Linked DNA regions of Neodiprion lecontei. The protein of the gene in region 3 interacts with the protein of the main gene of each other region in a pairwise test. Links are inferred from orthologs where the notes say so. Each region holds a gene or a part of one and is shown on either strand. Other genes may lie near its edges. The genes, in order: F-box/WD repeat-containing protein 7, F-box only protein 11 and S-phase kinase-associated protein 1.

Evidence for each region.
Region 1: the proteins of S-phase kinase-associated protein 1 (region 3) and F-box/WD repeat-containing protein 7 interact in binary tests that used the Caenorhabditis elegans proteins (3 or more experiments, as listed by UniProt). The link is inferred for Neodiprion lecontei from reciprocal best matches to the Caenorhabditis elegans genes skr-1 and sel-10.
Region 2: the proteins of S-phase kinase-associated protein 1 (region 3) and F-box only protein 11 interact in binary tests that used the Caenorhabditis elegans proteins (3 or more experiments, as listed by UniProt). The link is inferred for Neodiprion lecontei from reciprocal best matches to the Caenorhabditis elegans genes skr-1 and dre-1.

The regions. Positions count from the first base shown.
Region 1 is NC_060261.1:2,648,282-2,655,932, forward strand, and holds the start of F-box/WD repeat-containing protein 7, read right to left. Parts: upstream 6,022-7,651; 5' UTR 5,707-6,021; intron 5,052-5,706; 5' UTR 4,989-5,051; coding exon 4,782-4,988; intron 4,698-4,781; coding exon 4,465-4,697; intron 4,316-4,464; coding exon 4,213-4,315; intron 4,142-4,212; coding exon 3,623-4,141; intron 3,228-3,622; coding exon 2,820-3,227; intron 2,660-2,819; coding exon 2,344-2,659; intron 2,245-2,343; coding exon 2,081-2,244; 3' UTR 1-2,080. Other genes in the region: vacuolar protein sorting-associated protein 4, read left to right, coding at 6,737-6,760, 6,851-6,962, 7,143-7,519, 7,617-7,651. UniProt on the Caenorhabditis elegans protein: Probable substrate recognition component of SCF (SKP1-CUL-F-box protein) E3 ubiquitin-protein ligase complex, which mediates the ubiquitination and subsequent proteasomal degradation of target proteins.
Region 2 is NC_060263.1:333,400-341,184, forward strand, and holds the start of F-box only protein 11, read right to left. Parts: upstream 6,037-7,785; 5' UTR 6,031-6,036; coding exon 5,934-6,030; intron 4,824-5,933; coding exon 4,722-4,823; intron 4,415-4,721; coding exon 4,118-4,414; intron 3,755-4,117; coding exon 2,966-3,754; intron 2,880-2,965; coding exon 2,027-2,879; intron 1,953-2,026; coding exon 1,732-1,952; intron 1,657-1,731; coding exon 1,438-1,656; intron 1,325-1,437; coding exon 1,117-1,324; intron 996-1,116; coding exon 866-995; 3' UTR 832-865; exon of another isoform or gene 1-831. Other genes in the region: CAAX prenyl protease 2, read left to right, coding at 6,216-6,331, 7,017-7,122, 7,192-7,330, 7,414-7,650, 7,775-7,785. UniProt on the Caenorhabditis elegans protein: Substrate recognition component of a SCF (SKP1-CUL1-F-box protein) E3 ubiquitin-protein ligase complex which mediates the ubiquitination and subsequent proteasomal degradation of target proteins including blmp-1.
Region 3 is NC_060265.1:8,168,422-8,172,777, reverse strand, and holds S-phase kinase-associated protein 1, read right to left. Parts: upstream 2,264-4,356; 5' UTR 2,114-2,263; intron 1,211-2,113; coding exon 932-1,210; intron 754-931; coding exon 544-753; 3' UTR 525-543; downstream 1-524. UniProt on the Caenorhabditis elegans protein: Probable essential component of SCF (SKP1-CUL1-F-box protein) E3 ubiquitin-protein ligase complexes, which mediate the ubiquitination and subsequent proteasomal degradation of target proteins.

The DNA.
Region 1 (7,651 bases), on a different chromosome or scaffold from region 3:
TTCATAGATTCCGTTGAATCCGAATTTTATTTTCTATTTTCTGTTTAAGTAACTTTGAATTAGCTGGGATCCATCTTAAATATAAAGTATAGGCTGGAGTGTACGCCGTGTTCGATTCGTGTTATGAACATGTCTCACTCAATACGGTAATTATGAACTTTTAGCAGCCAAGGAATTACTAATCAGTCAATTTTATGCGCATAAGATACGTGACAAGATTTAATATAATAATCTAGGGATGGCTAGAAGGTAGATTCTAAATGCCTGTAGAACCCGACGGTTTTTTTAAATCTTCTTTGATAAATAGTATGTTAGTCGTAGGTATTGCTGTGCAATTTGATCCATTTAAGAGATCATCGTTGATTGTAAAATACTAATATTATTTCTAGCACGGCATTTTCCAAATGTAAATACAAATGAAACAATAAATTTCTACAAGATTAAAAAAAATTCTTTTTATTCTTCCAGGCGATATTCACAAGAGGAATATTCTCTTTCAAATTAACAATCGCCGTATTCAATACCTAGATCCCGATGCGAATTAATTTAACAGCAATAAATAGTAATTGATAAAATTAACGAAATCTATAATTCTTTCGAAAATAATAATGCCCTAATCATTCACTCGTTTCCACTTTCGTTCAAAATAATTCAACAGAATTTATAAAGACAAAGGAGGAAAAAAAAAAATCAATCAACAATTATTGCTTTACTGGCATAGATTGAAAAATGTTTGCTTTCTGAGTGTCCACATTATTAATTCCAAGTCAAATTCTAGCACACAAATCATGCATTTTGTTGTACTCATGCTATAATCTTATCATTGAAGATCACAAGGTCCAGAAGATATGCGTTATTGATTCAATTTTGATACATACATACATACATACATACATATATATATATATATGTATGTATGTATATATGTATATATGCACCAATTCTCGACCTATTCCTATCTGAGGATGATACGTGGGAACAAAATATATATATATATTTCATAAATATATATACATATATTTTGTGCGATAAAATATGACTTTTCAACCCGGCATAGCATTCTAAATACCCAGATAACATCAGGTAAGTCTCGTATATTTGAAACTGATATATTGTAACAAATTTTGCGCTGCTGCGGTTGCCCGGTGAAGAAAAAGTGAATCGGCGAATAGCAAAGACCTTTAATTTTTTTTTTAGAATGTTTTCGTACTGTTTTTTAATATTTCTGGCCATTATTTTCGTTGTACTTTAGTTCAACTTAACGTATGTTAACGTGACATACTAGATCTCAGGGCAGTTTTTGCGGACTTGTCAAGTGCACTGTGTCCCATTTATTACTATCGAACGAGTAAGTGGTTTTGTTCCATCATATATATGATAAGAGCGAAGAAGTCAATCTAGAGAAAAAATGCCAAACTTTGTACATACAAAGTCGCTAATTTTAATTCCTTACGATATTTCTTCAATGATTCGATAAAAAAAAACAAAAAAAACTAGGTTTTACGTTAAAGTTTTGATGAGTTGCACAAGTTTCACATTGAGTTGTGAGAAGAAACGAAATCAACTTTATTTCAATTCAAATAAATGGGGCACAGCTCAGCTCTGTGTGAATGGAAATTTTGATTACAGCGATTTCTCAGCACGGGGTAATTCTGTAAATTGTTCTATAAACTGAGCTGATTAGCGCAGTAAACCTTTAAGATCTTGCTTCCTCTTAGGACATAATATGTACATGCCAATAATTGAATTCTTTCAGAACAGTATGAATCCGTTGATAAGATTTATCCTGAATTGTCCAACAATTGCGTAATAACTTCGATAGCTCCTAATATTCCGCAATTTGCCGTAAGATTTGAATTTTATATTTGTACTTTGCAGTACGTACGACCCACAATCAACAAATATTCATTGTGAAGAACCTAACGCTCATTTTAGAACTCCCTTCACAATAATTTCATGCAGTCTTATCACAATCACACCATGTAATACATGAACATTGTACAGTAGATTGGTTATGCTACCTAATTATAGTATGTACAGAAGTCACATAGAGGCGTCGTCTCGCCCAAAGACGGGAAGACTATTTGGCCTCTACGTCAAAGTCAAGAACCAGCAGTTTGGTTTCCTCGGTACCATTACGACTGCCCACGGCACACACCAGCTTCGTATCGCTTGCTCGAATTCTCCAAACTACACCTCCACTACCCCCACTCTCCAGAGCCACAAGATTTCTTATGAAGTCTCCTAAAATCACGTTTTAAAACAAATATCATTTTACAGTTCGGTTCCAATGCGGTAGCTCTGATATTGTGACATTGCTTTGAGCAAAGAGATGAGACCCACCAGTCTTAACATCCCACAGTTTGACAGTCCCGTCATCAGAGGATGTAATCACAAAGTGACTGTTAAACTGCAGACAGGTAACTGCGGATTGATGTTTGTTTGGCCCGGAAAGAGTTTGCAGACAATGCCCACTAACAATATCCCAAACTTTGACTGTAGAATCGGCATTACCAGATACAAGAATATTGTTACGGAGCTCCATGCCCGAAGTAAGAGACTGATGACCCATCAGGGTGTGCCTACACGCTCCCGTCTCAACTTCCCATACCCTAATGCTCGTGTCCAACGATCCACTCACCACATGGATACCGTCAAACTAAACGAGACAAGAGGAAATAGCAATTACTATTAAATGATGTAATTATACCGCAGCAGCTATTTGCTAAGAACATTTTAAATTGTTTCGGATAATAATACTAAATATTACACCTATTACATAAAGTTAAACTGCAATGATTTCTTCCAAAAGCTCTTACTTGAAGGGAATAAACGCGATTGGTATGTCCTTGCAGTGTGTGAAGGCACTCTTCTCGTTCAGGATTCCATACTTTGACCATATAGTCATAAGCCCCACTGACCACGAGTTTTCCATCATATTGCACGCATCTAACAGCTGCGAGATGTCCGACCAAAACATGGAGACACTCCCCTGTATCAACTTGCCACACCCTTAGTGTAGCGTCTCTGCTGCCACTGACCACCTTGTTGCCATGGAGGTGCATACACCTTACTGTCGATGTGTGACCGTAAAGCGTATGTATGCACTGGCCCGTCTCTGCGTTCCAAACCTTTAAGGTGCGGTCTGTGCTCCCACTGATTACTGTAGTACCAGACATCTGTGAGGACCAGACACCACCCGTATGCCCAACCAGTGTTCTTAAACACTGTTGACATAAAATTGATGTGGTTTTATTTTTATATCGAGGGTGCTTGCTTCTGCGTGTTTTATATGGAGCAATGTTCTTATTTCATAGCGGGTACGTCTATGAACATTATTTAGATGCTTTAAAAATGGTGCAATAGAAATGAATGTGAAAAAATCCCAGTATTTTTAAACAAAGTAATATCGCAACATTCAACATAGGACTAGATAGGATGTGATACAATATCAAACATAAAATTTTGTAATTTATAACAAAATCGTACAGAATACTTGGGTCTAACAAAATAATCATATGAATTTTACCGAATACAGTATTTTATAAAGTAGGTACTTGACAAAGAATAATTTAAAATTGTTACAAAGTACGGGAAATAGAGTTTAAAACATTTGAATTACCTTTCCTGTAACAGCAGACCAAACTTTGAGGGTATTGTCGTCTGAGCCACTGACAATTCGATTGCCAGAAAACTGGAGACAGGTAATGACATGATCGTCGTGACCCTTTAAGACTTTGGGTGTACGAATCGGTTTAGTTCTCCAATTCATTTTTATGTTATGCTGCCTCATATACGCCTGCTTCCATGGCGAGGAGCAACTATTTGAATTTCGACTATTTTTACGTTTTGGCGTAGGTAGATCTTTAAGGTCTTCTATCCCGGTTGCTCGGCATTTTTCTTTCCACAATAGATTGTCATCTGCAAGAAAGCGCCAATTTCTGCATGTTTGCGCGGCTCGCAATAAATCTCTTGGTTCTAAGAAGGCTAAGACTGACAATGCCAACTCTTTAGGGAGTAACGAAATAAAGTCCCTCTGAAATTGTGGTTCGATGACTTGCATCATATGCCGAACTTGGGTTGGTTCGCATCTTTCTATTAGCTCATCAATAGCCAACATCCTTTCTGCATTTGACCATCTCTGTAACAATTTATTTTACTCAAAGGTCAATTGTCATTAATAACATAAACTCCACAGTCTTCACCACTTACCTGAAACTGTAATAACCAACTGCTCATTTCAGGTGGGGGATTGTCTCGGGTCGGAATGATGCTTCTCACATGCTTCCCTTTGTCGTCAACCCGTTTCACAACCCTACAAAATTAGTTAAAATTAAAAATAGTTTACAATGATCTAACACAATTATATCTCCCTGTTGCAAGCAAATTGGCATTGTTAAACAATTGTATGTACCATATTGAATTTCAAAAAAACAAAAAATGTAACAAGTTCAAACTACTCACATAATATAAGTCTTTTCCTCTGGGTTAAGCTTTTTACAGGGCAGTGTAGACTCAGCTTCGCTTTTACGTTTCCTCTGAGGCTGTACTGCGTCTAGTGGAACACATGTGTGAAGTATGGGACTAAGAGGTCTCGGTGGTAATGTCGGCGATGATTGCAACGATAACGAATGGCAGTCGTTGGCATCATTCTCTTCTCCACATTCGGCATCGCAATACATGCCCCCATCACTTGTCTGAACATTGATGAAAAGAAAGTTTTAAATAAGCAGAGTAACGACAACATACTTTTGTATTTACAATGCTCTTCTCTTATCTACCTCGCTTTCTTCATCCATACTATCCTCTTCTTCTTCCTCGCCTTCTTCTCCATAATCCTCAGACTCCCCATCGTGCACAAGTGCGGATTGCAGAGGATCTAGTGTACTTGGTCCTGGAACACCTTCAACACCTTCAACGGGACTAGGGCTTGTACCTCCTGGTTTTTCTCCTCCTAACGCCTTGGACGACGACGAAGGGGTAGACATCACTGAGTTCTGGCGTTATCACAGGCCCAGAAAATTGAAAGCATTATATTGGAGTGAGATTCTCTAGGTCAAACAGTCGTCATATTAATCTTTTGCTGTGTAATGTTTGGACGGTAAAAAGATGTTTCATACTAAAATAACATATCGAGCTAATTTTGCACAGCCACTGCCGCTAGAGAATTCTTTGAGATAGAGTAAATATTAAATGAAAGTTAAGAGCTCCAAATCACTGCTATTAAAAATGAAAAGCTTCCAATTTGCAATATTGCTCCTAATTTGAGCCACAGTTATGAAAAGAAACTTGTTTATGCTACACCTGTGATCGACGACAAGTATGGTCATGATATTGGTTCGAAATGAAATGAAAGCAATTGATACATAATAATAATCAGTCGGAGGTATTAATGAATTGAATTAGATTTTAATGGAGGTTAAAGAAAATATGTGAAAATGGTAAGAGAGGTGAATTGAGGTGTGTGATAAAAATCACACGGATGAAATACACGGATGATAATTCGAACTACAATTGAGGTAAACCCTAACCTTGAAAAAGAGCACAAGTAGAACTTGCCATTTTGAAGATAGCCTTTAAGAGAAAATGTAACAAAGGGCCGGTTTGCCACACCCTGGGAAGCAGGGAGCGATTTACCACTCGATAAAATGGCTAGATGCAAAACGGCGGTGAAAGAAGTGTGGAAAAAATCAAATAGGTTCATACATGGTCGACTGATTTCCACTTCTCTGCCTTCCTTCAGCGGTACGGGTTTATTCAGTGTCTCGCCTCGCGCGAGACGTCCCAACTTGTTCGGGGTTGTAATTAATTTTCTATCAACTACACACGGCACGCATTTCTCGTATGGTACACCTCGGTTAGGTTATAATCTCGCAAATTTATTCCCCACAATTATTATTCCACCACTAAACTCTGCAAATAAAAACAATAAACGCTGATAAACACGGCGTAGGATCCATCGACGAACCGAAGTTGTTCCCTTCGAACTCCGTGCTTCGCACGATGCCTTTGCACATGCGTTTACTTCGGTTAAAAGACCACGTTCTCAACACACTCTAGCCGCGTTTCCACTGATCTCTGTACTAACTGGATGGCTGACTAGTGACTAGCGACCTAGGCCCTTTTGATTCGATCAGAAGCAGACGAAATCGATACCAGCGCCTCAATAGCCTTAGTGGAACTAACGAATCACGTGGTTTATTGCGTATGTCATTGGTTAAAGTGACAAGACCATGTGACTAAATCTGTTTCTGATAGACTATCACCCGGGTGACCCGTTAGTTTAACTTCGGGTATTGTAGCGCTAGTGTCGGTTTATGATTTGGGGCTCACGAGATCAGTGCTCATTTCCACATCTCTACACGACTAGTTCACCCGGAACTCCGTGAGAGGACGCCAAAGCTGCGTTCAAATGAGATCGCCCAAGGTTTTTTTTGCCTTGATAGTCCCGATGCAGCGGTGGTAGGGTCATGGTAATGGTAGAGTAGGAGTCACCGTCAGTGACGTCAGAGACCTAAATTTTGAAGGTTAAAAATTTGACAGAACAGCAAACTTCTCCAATCGAGAGCGATCGAGGCAGTTTACGCAACGTGCGTTCGATAATTTATTTATGGATAACTGAGCTTTTTTTGCACGTGTATAAAACAGCATTAATATCATCAGTTCAAGACTTTCTTGAATTCCGCATACTTCACTCTGGTGAGCTAAGGTTAGGGAGGAGCCATTTCACAATAAAATGGCAGCAGGAACAACATTACAGGTACTAACTATTGGGAAGGTTTCCTCAAATTTTAAGCCTGGATATTTTCAATTGACCAATTATTCTCGTTTTCTACCCGTATAAATACAGAAAGCCATAGACCTGGTTACCAAGGCCACCGAGGAAGATCGGAACAAAAACTATGAAGAGGCTCTGAAGCACTATGAACACGGCGTTGAATACTTTCTTCATTCAATCAAATGTACACATCATCAGTATTTACATGCCTCAGACTCTCGATTCTTCTTCCAATTCACTTCTGTGGCATGAATAAGTTTTCTCAAATACATATTTGTTGACTTTGTTTTCAAAATGCAAACACTTTATTCAATGTTCACTTCATTCAACTTCGCTTCATTTCACCAATCAAACTTGTTTTCAGATGAGGCTCAGGGAGAACGGGCCAAGGAAAGCATTAGGACAAAGTGTTTACAATACCTGGACCGAGCTGAGAAGCTGAAGGAATATCTAAAGAAGGGAAAAAAGAAACCGGTCAAAGATGGAGAGAGTAATTCTAAAAGCGATGATAAAAAGGGTGACAGTGGGGATAGCGACAGTGACAGCGATCCAGAAAAAAAGAAATTACAAAGCAAATTGGAAGGGGCAATAGTAATTGAGAAACCACAAGTAAAGTGGAGTGATGTCGCAGGGTTGGACCTTGCTAAGGAAGCTCTAAAAGAGGCTGTTATCTTGCCCATTCGTTTCCCACATCTGTTTACTGGGAAACGTATCCCATGGAAAGGCATTCTGCTCTTTGGCGTAAGTTTCAGACCCAAAACCCTTCAATTTATGTTATATGTATATTTTTGTATCATTTGTTATGTATTCCCACTATATATGTTTATATTTATTCCAGCCTCCTGGTACTGGTAAATCGTATCTAGCAAAAGC
Region 2 (7,785 bases), on a different chromosome or scaffold from region 3:
TCTTTTGTTTCAGTTTCCCTTCTTTTGCATTCACTTATCGTTTTTCATTATGTTTAGAAGGAATTAGCTACCTCAGGCTGCGTCATGTGTATCAGTTCAGTTTTCAGTTTTCAAACTCGATATTTTTCTCATTGTGCAATTAGGTATTTTATTTTTATGGATACAAAACTGACTGCGACAGAGTTCTTCATCATCGTTATTATATTTTGAAACGTTTATGTAAAATTTAGAAAATTTTAGCATCATATAACCAACAACCATTCGTTGCGTGTTAACGACAATGTAAATTTCAATGTTCTTGTATATACCAATAAATCTCTACTTGTATTCAAATTATGCTTATATACAAATATTTTATTCGACTATCAAGAGAAGCAACAACTGAGAGGAGCTCTTGGTTTTGGTAGCTGTTCTTCTCTTAATGTGTCTCAATACCATTGATAATGCACAACTTTTGGTTGAAAGAATACAATGCTGTATTTAGACATACGATATAACAAAGTTATTGGAATTAAATACGCGTACGCGTATAATCTATTGTAAATAAATAAAAACATTAAAAATGGTAAAATTCATGTGAAGATGAAAATAAGTGTTCAGTGAAATTTAACAAGAAATAATTAGTAAAATAGTAGGAATCGCACGGTCTTTCCAATAGTTGGGTATGTCATTTGGAATTTGGTAAAGCTTTAATTATTCAGTTTGCCAATAACTCTGTCGATATTGGGATTTTCATGAGTTTAATAATAATAATAATGATATCAAAGAACTCGACAACAGATTACTATTGTTATTACTGCACGTTTATCTCAACGGATCCATCTAACTTACGGATTTGGGACCAGTTGGTTCATTTTAGCTACATCTAGTTGACCATGAGCGTGTGTGACTCCATGGGTGCAGCACTATCATATAAAGTATCGGTGTCCTGCGTCGGCTCACCCTGCAGCTGACACTGGTTACTCAAGGTTCCAGCTCCACAGTCGCAAAAAAATCTGTGCACAAGAATTTTTGGTACTGAGAATGTGGAATGTATTCGTTGGTGAGACGCTCGGGAGAATCGCCTGAAATGGAGCCATGATTTCGGGGGTTTTCAAATAAAATAATACTACTCACCTATCGTGCCGGATGAATTCTACGTCGTGGCCAGCGTGACAGGTTTTTATACAATTTACACAGATAGCATTACGATCTGTCGTATTGCACGTTTGACAACGGTAAAAGTCATGCATCGGGAACGACGTGTACGATGAAATTTTGTAAAGACATTGGCCATTACCGACAGCTTTCTCCACTGCGTCTTGATTGTTGAATATCTTATTACCTACAGGGCATAAAACGTAATGTAAGAATTACGATTATCGAGGAGATTAACTGGCAGTGCATAATCTTTGCAAACCATAAGGAAAAAAAGTATGGAATCGGCTCGACCTTTACCTCTAGTTGTTGGCTGAACTCCGCTGGCGAGACAAAGACCTCCAAATCGGTTGTTGAAGATCTGATTGAACTCCAATGTGGCGGTCGCGTTGTTCGTTATCTCGACTCCTGCGGCTAATCCATCAAAAATACGATTTCTCCTAAGGACTGGATGCGATTGGGTTGAAATTAGAACTCCAGCCTGCGCATTTCGGAATATGTCGTTCTCTTCGAGTATACCTGTTATTTGGACAAAGTTAAAACAGTGAGGCTTAATTCCGAAAGTACACATACAAATGAGTTCAGGGTACAAACCTTTTCCCCCATTGAATATACAAATTCCGCCATCTCTTCCATCGAATATTTTATTCCTTTTTAACGTTGGATTACTGTCAGTTTTAATCCAAACACCTGCCATGGCATTGTCGAAAATTTCATTCTGTTCTAAAAGGCCTAGACCGCTATTGTACACGAGGACTCCACCGTTTTGTCCACCCCATATTTTGTTCCCTCTAATGACAGGATTGCTCCCAGTCCTGAAAGGAAGAATCTTTGTCAATAATTTGTTATACGTAGCATAAATAACGAAATTCTCAGTCTCAAATCATACCTAATCTGTACTCCAGAATACAAATGATTGAAAATATCATTGTCTTCCAATTTCCCATGACCATTGTCATAGAAATAAACTCCGACCTGTTTGCCACTGTGGATTCGATTCCTTCTTAAAACTGGAGTTGATCCCGTCGTTATCCAAACCCCGGCCAACGTATTGGCGTAAACTTCGTTTTCCTCGATCAAACCTTGACCTTTTTCATGAACATATATACCACCATGTTGTCCATGGTGAATTTTGTTGTGTCGGACAATCGGATCTGAGTTCGTCCGGATTTGTATCCCGGCGAGAGCATTGCCGTAAATGTTATTATGCTCTATAAGGCCACGGCCTTCGCCAAATATGTAAACCCCACCTTGATGACCATTGTATATTTCATTTCTACGAATCGTTGGATTAGAATTTGATGTTATCCAAACGCCAGCAAAATTGTTCGAGTGAATTTTGTTGTCGATGAATTGTCCAAGACCGTTCTCATGAACGTATATGCCGCCCGTTTGACCATGATGTATCTCGCAGTGCACAACGGTCGGATTAGCACCCGCTTTGACTTCAAAACCAGCGATTCGATTATTATGAATATCATTCGCCTCAAAGTATCCTAGGCCGTTATCAAACGTAAATATCCCAACATCTCTACCGTGGTGGATGTGATTTCTTCTCATAATCGGATTCGCGTAGTTTTTCACCCAAATCCCCGCCAGTGCATTTCGGGATATTTCGTTGTCCTCATAGGTGCCTTGGGCATAGTCCGTTACATACAGGCCAACGTTTTCGCAGTCAGATATGTCGCAATTTTTCACCACAGGATTTGCCCCAACACCCGACACACAGACCGCTGCTCCAACTGTTTAATCAAAATTCATATATTAATATCAATGAGGGACAATAGTGTCAAGGTTGGAGAGTTTCGTGTCAATCTGAACAACTTACCGACGCTCGAACTACGAATAATGCAGTGATCGACCGTTGGACTACAATTTTCGCCTACTTCCAAACAGTAATGTTTATGATGTTGTACAGTGCTGGTTACATCAGGTGTGAATTTGAGAGTGAGGTGGCCTGCGTACGCGCGTTTAGCACCTTCAACGAACATGACTGTCGATTCTGATTCTCTTTCTAAAATAACAGACTCGGCGACGTTGCCTGCGGCAGCTCCTATCAAAGCTACGTCGCAGTCAATGATGAGAAATTCACCACGGTATGTCCCGGCATGTAAAAATACTAGGTGCAGGGGCGTTTCCTCGGTGCCTTGCGAATTATTGATGCAACAGTTACCTTGAACATTGGTAGTTGAGTTCGCATTTGGCGTCGATCCATTGCTACTCCTATATTCTTCAACAAAGTCTAAAGCCCCTTGTACAGTGTTGAAATATGGGAGATTTCTACCCTTGAATTTAAGATCCTGAAAACCAGGCCTGACGTGCACTCCTCTGTACAACTGTCGAAAACTTTCTTTCCAGGGGTTCGAATAATCCGATTCGTCCGGCGAGATAAATTCGAATTTACAAGGTGCCGGATTAAACAGTGGCAAATCATACTCGTAAACTTGCTGATACAACGACTTCCACAATTCCGTGTCATTCGCAATCGCTTGAAAACGTTTACACACTTGCGAGACACGGCACAAATCTTGTTCCATTAAGTAGTTGAATATCGTCAGCAGCACCTCATCCGGCAACTCGTACTGTAGGTAGTGTGCAGCTGTGTTTGTATTTGTGCCTACCGCAGAGTGAAATAAATAAATGAATATTTTTAGAAATATAATGAAAAAGTACGAATTGATTTTCAATTTTCCTCTAGTGATCATTTAAACATTACCCCTTCAATTTATGTTTAGTTTGAAATAAGGTAAAAGCGATTAAGTAACCTCAGTGTTAACACAGAGTTGAAAAAGAGAATACATGTATAATCGGATTAAGTTGAAAGTTTGCTAATGAAGCTGAAGCTAGCAGCCAGGTTCAGTGTGACAATTGCTAAACTCCTGCTCAGCAATATAATGCAATACAGTTTTACATCGATGGCGAGTAAAAGAAAAGATTTGTAATCTTTATTTGAAGAAAAGAAGAACAATTCATTGCCTACCATCGGTTGAAAGTGAGCACGTTCTCCTAGGTCGCTTTCTGGCTGGTAAAGATGAGGTTCCAAGAGCAGCGGCGATACTGCTTCCTCCGGGAGGTGGTAGTGCTGAACTCGTGCCAGGTGCAGGATCCGGATGCGGGGGACTCTTACGGCGAAGATCGTAGGGTGACGAGTGCGAATGAGACGGAGAAGGGGCGGCTATCCCCGAAACACTAGGCGAAGATCCTCTGCCTCCTCCTACACCCCCGCCTCCTGAAGGAATTGGATTTGAAGCTGGACACGGTAGCTCGCATGGTTCGGCTGAGAAAGTGAGCATGAAATTTTTAAATCTTAATATTTGAAGGATATTGATGCAGCTATGGATTTCAAATATTTATAAAATAAATATTTAAAGAAAAGAACTGGTCTCTCCATCTCGTCTTGCTTGTTCTTGTATGAGCACACGACTTGGCTCTAATGCGATAAGTTTTGCACCGATTTATTCGATAATTGAACTTTCATAAAAAAAAACCATCACTATTTTGATCATCATACAAAATTAGATCGAATCATTTCAATAGGTAAATCAGTTTCATAAATATTATAAATTTTATAACTTAGGAAGCACCGATCAGGCTTCTTGAATATTGACGGCGTCTCTGGCGATTGTAGAACACGTATCCACGATGATAGAATTTTTCAATATAGAGATTTGAAGTTAATCTTGTCCCTACAAGGCAAATGAATTTTCTTATTTAATTCATAGTCCTCAGTGAATAAGATGAGATAACCATAAGTTATGTATGGGGAAAAAAAAAAACACACACACACGTAGAACGTTGTTCTTAGAGCAGCGCAGATAAAAAACACAGCAGCAACAATGGGAAGTGTAAATCTCTTACATCAAGGAATAACGCAATGGAAAGGTTATTTTTATACATTGAAATATATTTCAATCCACTGTCCAAAGCTGTAGTGGCACAATGTATAGATAGTGGAAATTTAACATAAATGAAATTGAATTCTGTGGCACATCTGCTGTAACTACAGCATATGCTAAAAAATTCATTAGCATACAGACGTTTTTCGTTGCAGACACACGCTACCTAGAATTAAGACAGAAGCAGCGTTTTCTTATTGTTTCATAATTGTATAGTTTTTGTATGGCAAATTAATATTAATTGTGATCGATTTCACGTGACATGATTGGCATTTAAAAATGCCGGATTACACGATTCTGAAATTCCAGTTAGGAAAATCGAATAATCCATGCACCGTGAATATTTATATGACACTCCAGAAGGGTAAAGTAGCTTGGTATAAATGGAATAGACGTCAAATAAATATAGTTACGTCGGGTACACCTCTGGGTGTGGATGATGATAATCGACATTTTTGGGGAGCTTTTCTCTTTGTTGCTCTTTCACGTTACATCGATACACACGTATGTATGTAGATACGCATAATATGCTTTGCTGCATATGTAGTATATTAATTTTTCTGCTCGTTGTAATCGAGATTAGGGAGGGAATGCCGATTTAGTAGTAGTATGATCGTATGCATGTAAGTAGGTACATAGTGTGACAAATGTCCATGCAAATCGGATATTGTACGAACTCGTTGGTAATCGGAGAAATGACATTGGATAATATTTAATAATAGATCGTACAATGAGAATAGACGATGAGAATAGGAAAGAGGAGAATCGATGTTAGTTGAGTAGGCAGGAAAGGAGTCGGAGCGAAACGCAAGCTGAACGACGAGCCGAGCGAGCTAAGCCGCGAACCTTACGAGGAGCAGCAGTAGCAGCAGCCGCCTATAGCCCCGTTCTATTACATACCCGATGTTGTTCTAGAGGGTAACGGGATTCTGTTGGCGCCTTTCCTCCGGGATCTGCGGACGTAGCTACGTGACGATGTGAATGACGCGCTCGGCATCTTGAAGTTAGGTGTATCCCGATTATTTTATAAGAAAAACGGGGAAAAACTATACACTAAACAATGGCGACACATCCATCGAGCACGGCGGCCATCTTCTCACTACACGGACGACTACTGCGCGACTGCCAATCGGACACGATTTTATCCGCTATAGCGTGTCACGTGATTCAACGAACGTCAGTATGGTGGAGACCGAGGAAAATACAGATTTTTCTCGCACCACCGCGATTTTGTCATGTTTCACGTTATCTGTCGTCTACGTAGCCAGTCTCTACATATGGAATTCGCCGTACCATAGGTAAAATTAATTCGCGAGCCTACCCGTAGCTGCGTATATCATCGTTACGCCCTCGCGCCTCAGCCGCACGATGTATGTACATACATAGAACTAGCCCTTTAACAACGGACCACGAAGAAAATGTATAACTGTTTCGTGCCCCAGAGAGCCGCCGGATTCTTGCTCGGGCCCCCGTCTAACTCGTCTGTCGGTGCACAAATTTTCACGATCAACTATGAGTAAATTTTCATGGCCGATGAAAGCCTCGCTTGGCTTTTGTCGCGTCGACTTTCATTTACTCGTTCCCCTACAACATTCGTTTTACTTTTAACGACACTCCGCGTCGTTCAATCGTCATAATCGCAGCACGCACGCGACACGCACACGGTACGAATGCGGGAATCGACGCGCGTACTGCTAAACTCGTCCAAATCAGGTTGCACCCACTAGCCCTTGGAAAGCCAGCCAGCCTCCCCCCTCCCCCGGAAGCCTCTACACATCGCACACTGTTGTTTAATTTTCATTCAACAAGAGTCAAAGAAATCGACGAAAAACTCCCCCCCTCCCACATTGTCGCATCGGCGCTCCGCGTTTCTTCCCGATAATTCGAACTTCGATTTCCCGACGCGCGCTGAAAAATTGATCTCAAACTTATGGGGAGGAACTATAGAGGAAATGGAGATGAACTATAATCTATTTTTTACAGAGAGCATAATGAGACGATTAAAAAAAGATTTCTCAGCGCCTTTATCATGATGTTTGTGTCCCCGTTATTCGTATACTTTGGAATAAGCAGATCCATGTTACAAAAGGTACGTTATTTCGTTTCATTGGCACTGTTTTTGAGCAACATCACATGTAAATAATTAAACCAACTTCAGACTACCATTTGGGAACTGCTGGGCATAAAATTGGTCGGTTTATTTCAAGCGGCTGTTTTACCGCTCCTTTTAACCATGATATTGTTCTTGGGGCCACTGAGTGTCCAGGCACTGAATGGGCCATGGAAATTATACGCCGGTGAGTTTGGGAACGCTAAATATAAAATTTTCATATGTTAACGAACAATTGATTCAACTTTGTTTTCAATTTCACCTTTGCAGCACCCATGCACTCTACAAAAAATATTAGATCGCTCATATGGTGGCGGAACCGAATTGTCGCTCCTTTATCCGAGGAATGGACTTTCAGAGCCTGTATGCTTCCGCTACTTCTAGAGTGTTATAAACCTACTACCGCTATTTTCATATGCCCATTGTTCTTTGGCGTTGCACATTTTCATCACGTTATTGAAATGATCAGGGCGGGTGTAAAATTTCAAGATGCTCTTAAGTTATGCAGTGAGTATTTCGGTACATCATTTGAACTAGAAATGCTAGTGTAAGTTTTGTATTTCATCGCACAGTTGAAATAATTTGTTACCTTATAATGTTTCAATTTTCAACACATTTTTTTGTTTTGCAGGTTTTCAATTC
Region 3 (4,356 bases):
GTATTCACAAGAGATTGGACTAAAGGAAGAAGATCAAAGCTTCACAGATGAGATGCAGATATAACAGATTTCGAAGATATTGATATTTAAATAGACTGAAGTTATACTTGGTTAATTATACACAGAAATTAATCGTGCTATTGTTAAATTAATACTTTCGTGGTATGGATCGTTAAACCGAAAAATCATGTTTTCCATTAGAGAGTGAAAACAGACCGAAAGAAATTGTATCCAGAATGTAAATCTTTCTATTAACGTAGCCAGCATACCTAGAAAATATTCATATCAGCTGCAAAAATTTATTTCTCCAAGCAATTGTTGCTGGTATTTCTAATTTCGAATTAGGGATATTGTACGCAAATGGAGAAACTCGGCTGGAACAGGAATATTCCATTATTGCTAAATTTTTCAGAGGGTGAGTTTTTCTGTTGCGACAAGCTTGAAATTTGAGTTTGCGAAAGACATCTTCAGATTTAACACGCGATAAACCTACAGTTACAGATGATTTAGAAAGCATTTCTTTCGTCCCTCCTCGGATTCTTTCTACTTCTCTTCGCACCATTCATTCTCCTTGCGAACCTGCTCCTCTTCTGAAGCTGTAAAATCGTTCTTTATATTGAACGTCTTACGGATTTCTTCTGGTGTTTTTCCCTTTATCATGTTTGCCACAGTCTTGCACGTTACATCTAGAAGTCCTTTGATGTCCAAGTAATTTGCTGCCAAAATCAGTTCGAATAAGGTTCCTTGATCAACCTGTAAATAAATAAAACGAAGCAAATTAGTAGCTGTCGTTAAAACTATAATGAATCTTGCACAGACTACGTTTCAAAGATGTTTAAGAGTGAAAAATTGTCAAAGAAAATTTTCAAATGAAAGGAATGTGTCTCTTATTAATTATAATATTAGCATTTTGATTGAATGCAAAATTGACCTTCAAAAAATCAGCATCCCAAGAGCTGATGTCGTCAGTTCGCTTCTCCTTGTTTTCATCATCTTCAGGTGGTGGTGGATCATCTTTGTGATACGTAGCCCATTGAATGACCTTTCTCAGGATAGCAGAGTTAACATTTGGTAGGGGAACAATTTCATCTTCATCTTCATCCATTCCCAAGTCCTCCAGCATGGTTTTTATCGTGACTGAACATTTCGCAATTTCAACATCCACGTCGAATACTTCGCCATCCGAACTCTGCAGCTTTATGTTCGGCATCTGTGATTAAAAACAAGACAAACATAAGTTCAGTTACGTCAATATTTCAGGTACAAGAATCGACCTTCTTCTATTATTATTGTTATGTGTACAAGTTTCTTTGTCTTTGAACAACTCCTAGTCCATGTTATCGATCTGTGTATAAACTACATTTCAATGTCATTCAGTCCGTTTACCACAGAGTGAATTGAGTTTGGGACATGGACGTAAACATTTTCTTTCAACGCATTGAACTGAAAAATGCTTACGCATAGCATTACAGAGATTTTTGATGTAGAAAAAAACTGAAAAATAAAATCGATTTCCGCGAAAAGTATGAGGGTATGTTTATTTTTATAACTTGTAAATCTGAGTCATACAACGTTATGAAAATTCCGACGCACGAAGTGAATACGAAAAATGCTGCATGGACAATGACGCGTTTGATTTCGTGTAATTTCGAAAAAGAATATTCGGTCTTTCTCCGCAGCGAGTAAAATTTTTACGGATGAGAACGTCGAGCAGGAAACGTCAGGTAGCGAGTGTCGACCACAGGGATAAGATATTGGCGCGCACGGCAACAACCTTGCGAGAATGAGGTTCGCCGTTGACCCAAGGTTTTGGATAAGGGTTATAAACCCAATAAAATTCGACGGCACGTTAGTGGCGGGCGTATCCGGTCATAATATGCGGAGAAGACACGTTCCTGGAGGGTTTAATGCAAAGCAGCTCATGTCTGGTGTTGAAAATCGACGAATAATTATAAATCATAACAACATGCGCGGGCAACGAATATTCGTCCATTAGCCGATTTCCCGTGCAACGACTTTTCCAACTTCAAGGCGATAAACAATGCCCAGCGAATGTTTTGTTACAAACGTTTTGACCGAGGCAAGAAGCTCCGTAAATAAATTATCGAATTACCTTTCAAGTTACTTCCAATTCTCCGTTGTGTGAAACCGATAATGAATCACAGCGTAACGTTGCCAGGCTCTCTAGTACACTCTCTAGTCTTTAGTTTCTACCTCCCTCTTTTTCGCTTTCTGCTCACCCTGCGATCTCTCTCTGATCATCGACGACAAACTTCAGTCAGCAACACGCAGGCGCAACGGCTCATAGATGGCGCTGTCGGCAGTCAGGACCGTGCTTAAATTTTCAAAATTGGAACACTTCAAACTGAGCGTTGTTGGAGCGATCAAACATCGTGTTTCATGTTGAGTATTTACAATTTGGAAAATAAAACTCATACTTTACTGAGATTTGATTTTAAATTTGTTATTTTTGAAGAATTAATATGCTGAAAACAGCCGACTGGCGTAGGGCGCTATGAATTGCGTTTACGTATTGCGGAAAATTTTGGAAGAGCAGTAAATTGAAAAGGAAATTTAAAATGGCTGTAAGTCTCACATTTTTTTGCTTGAATTCCACAAACAAAATAACTATGGAGCGAAGAAAAAACAGCTTTTATCTGTTTTTTTCAAATTTTCAAGTGCGGGTACTGCCGTATATTAGTGATAACACATAGTTTAGTATTTTAGAATAAGTATTTATTGAGTGGGTTATATATAATTATGAGCGTCGCTTCTCACTCCTGTGTCTCAAATTTACCAACTAGGCTTATATAAAAGTCCCTAGTCCGCAACAGTCACTTGCAGCCTTTCTATCCTATTAAGTAGCATAAACTTTCCGTAATTCGACTTTTCCATTCAAATTTGAATTAAGAAAATGACCGTGTCCCAATATGTCAGAAAATACAAAACTTGCACGTTGCATTTGAACTTTATAACCATCCTAGAGAACTGACGTCGTTAATTTTTGCATTATTCTGTGTAATAAAACGCTAAATAAGCCCGATTGAATCGCTGACCCAGAACGGATCGCCATTGTCGGAATTTTTCCGCCGTGGTCTGTGTAAAGAGCGCGAAGGATCGTTTACTGGGCTAGAATCGTAGAGAGAATCAACGATTCAAGTATTTTGGTCGCGTCTAGTATAAACTAACTGAAGCGTATTAATGAAATTAAAACAAAGCTTTCTTGATTGAGTCTGTTAGTCGAGCTAGAAAAGGGTAGAGCAGCTAATCATGATTGCTCCAACTGAATGAGTACGAACAATAAGTTAAAATAAGTGCTGCTCTTCGCCCTCTTCAACTTTATAACGGGACCAGAAGCTCTTCCCAATGAAACGCATTAAATAAGTCTTAAGAGAAATATCTGTCCAGCGACTGTAGCTGTATAATAATTTTTAACTCGTGCATTACGTTATACTTGCGACGAAATTATTGTGCCAATATTAACGAAAAGCTAGGTTTGAAGATAGCAAAACCTGCAATTAGATATCACAGTAAATCAAATCGAATTGAGTACTGCAAAAACAGAATTGGCATGAATTGGAAAAAAGAAATTAAAACAAATTCAAAAGAATTCGCACATATGTAAGTATTTTCAATTCGCTTCAAATCGAGTTAATTCGGTTTTCGGACTTACTCAATTCTATTCAATTCATTTTGGTTTATTGGGATATCTTCAATTGTTATTGGCGATTTAATGAAGTTATTCAGTTTATGCTTCCGTTAAAGTTGGAATCATAAACGATGAAAGTGTAGAAATTGCGACATGTTTTTACGTGAAAACATTTCTGACAGAAACTTCTGGAATCGAATATTTCAAATGATGTTTGTTTAAAATCTCGCGACTCTTTCCGAAAAAAGTCTCACGTTGCGATAGACTCTAGATAAAATTTTTCTCTCCATGTATACCATTCAAAGAAAGATTCAGGTCAAAACACTCAGACTTTCTCTGTTTATCCTATTCTTTACTCTATGTTGTCACAAAAAATATTTAACTTTCGTCGATTTTGTAGCTCTCCAATTTTTTATTTCAACAATTTGTGTGACTTCGTAAGATCATGTAATTCATTGTTAGAATTGCTCTCAGCGGTGTCCAATTCAATCAATCATTCCGATAATGTATTAATTTCGTTAATTGAAGCAAATTCCTGCAACTGAAAATTATACACACGTGAGTAATATTCCTAGATCAATATTGACCGAGTCAAACTCTGGCACTAACATCTTAGCAATGGACATCGGGTCTGGCAAAATACCTTATTCGTGGCTTCACTAATAGAAACAAGTCATTGAATTAACTAAATACGTGGTCACGGGCGG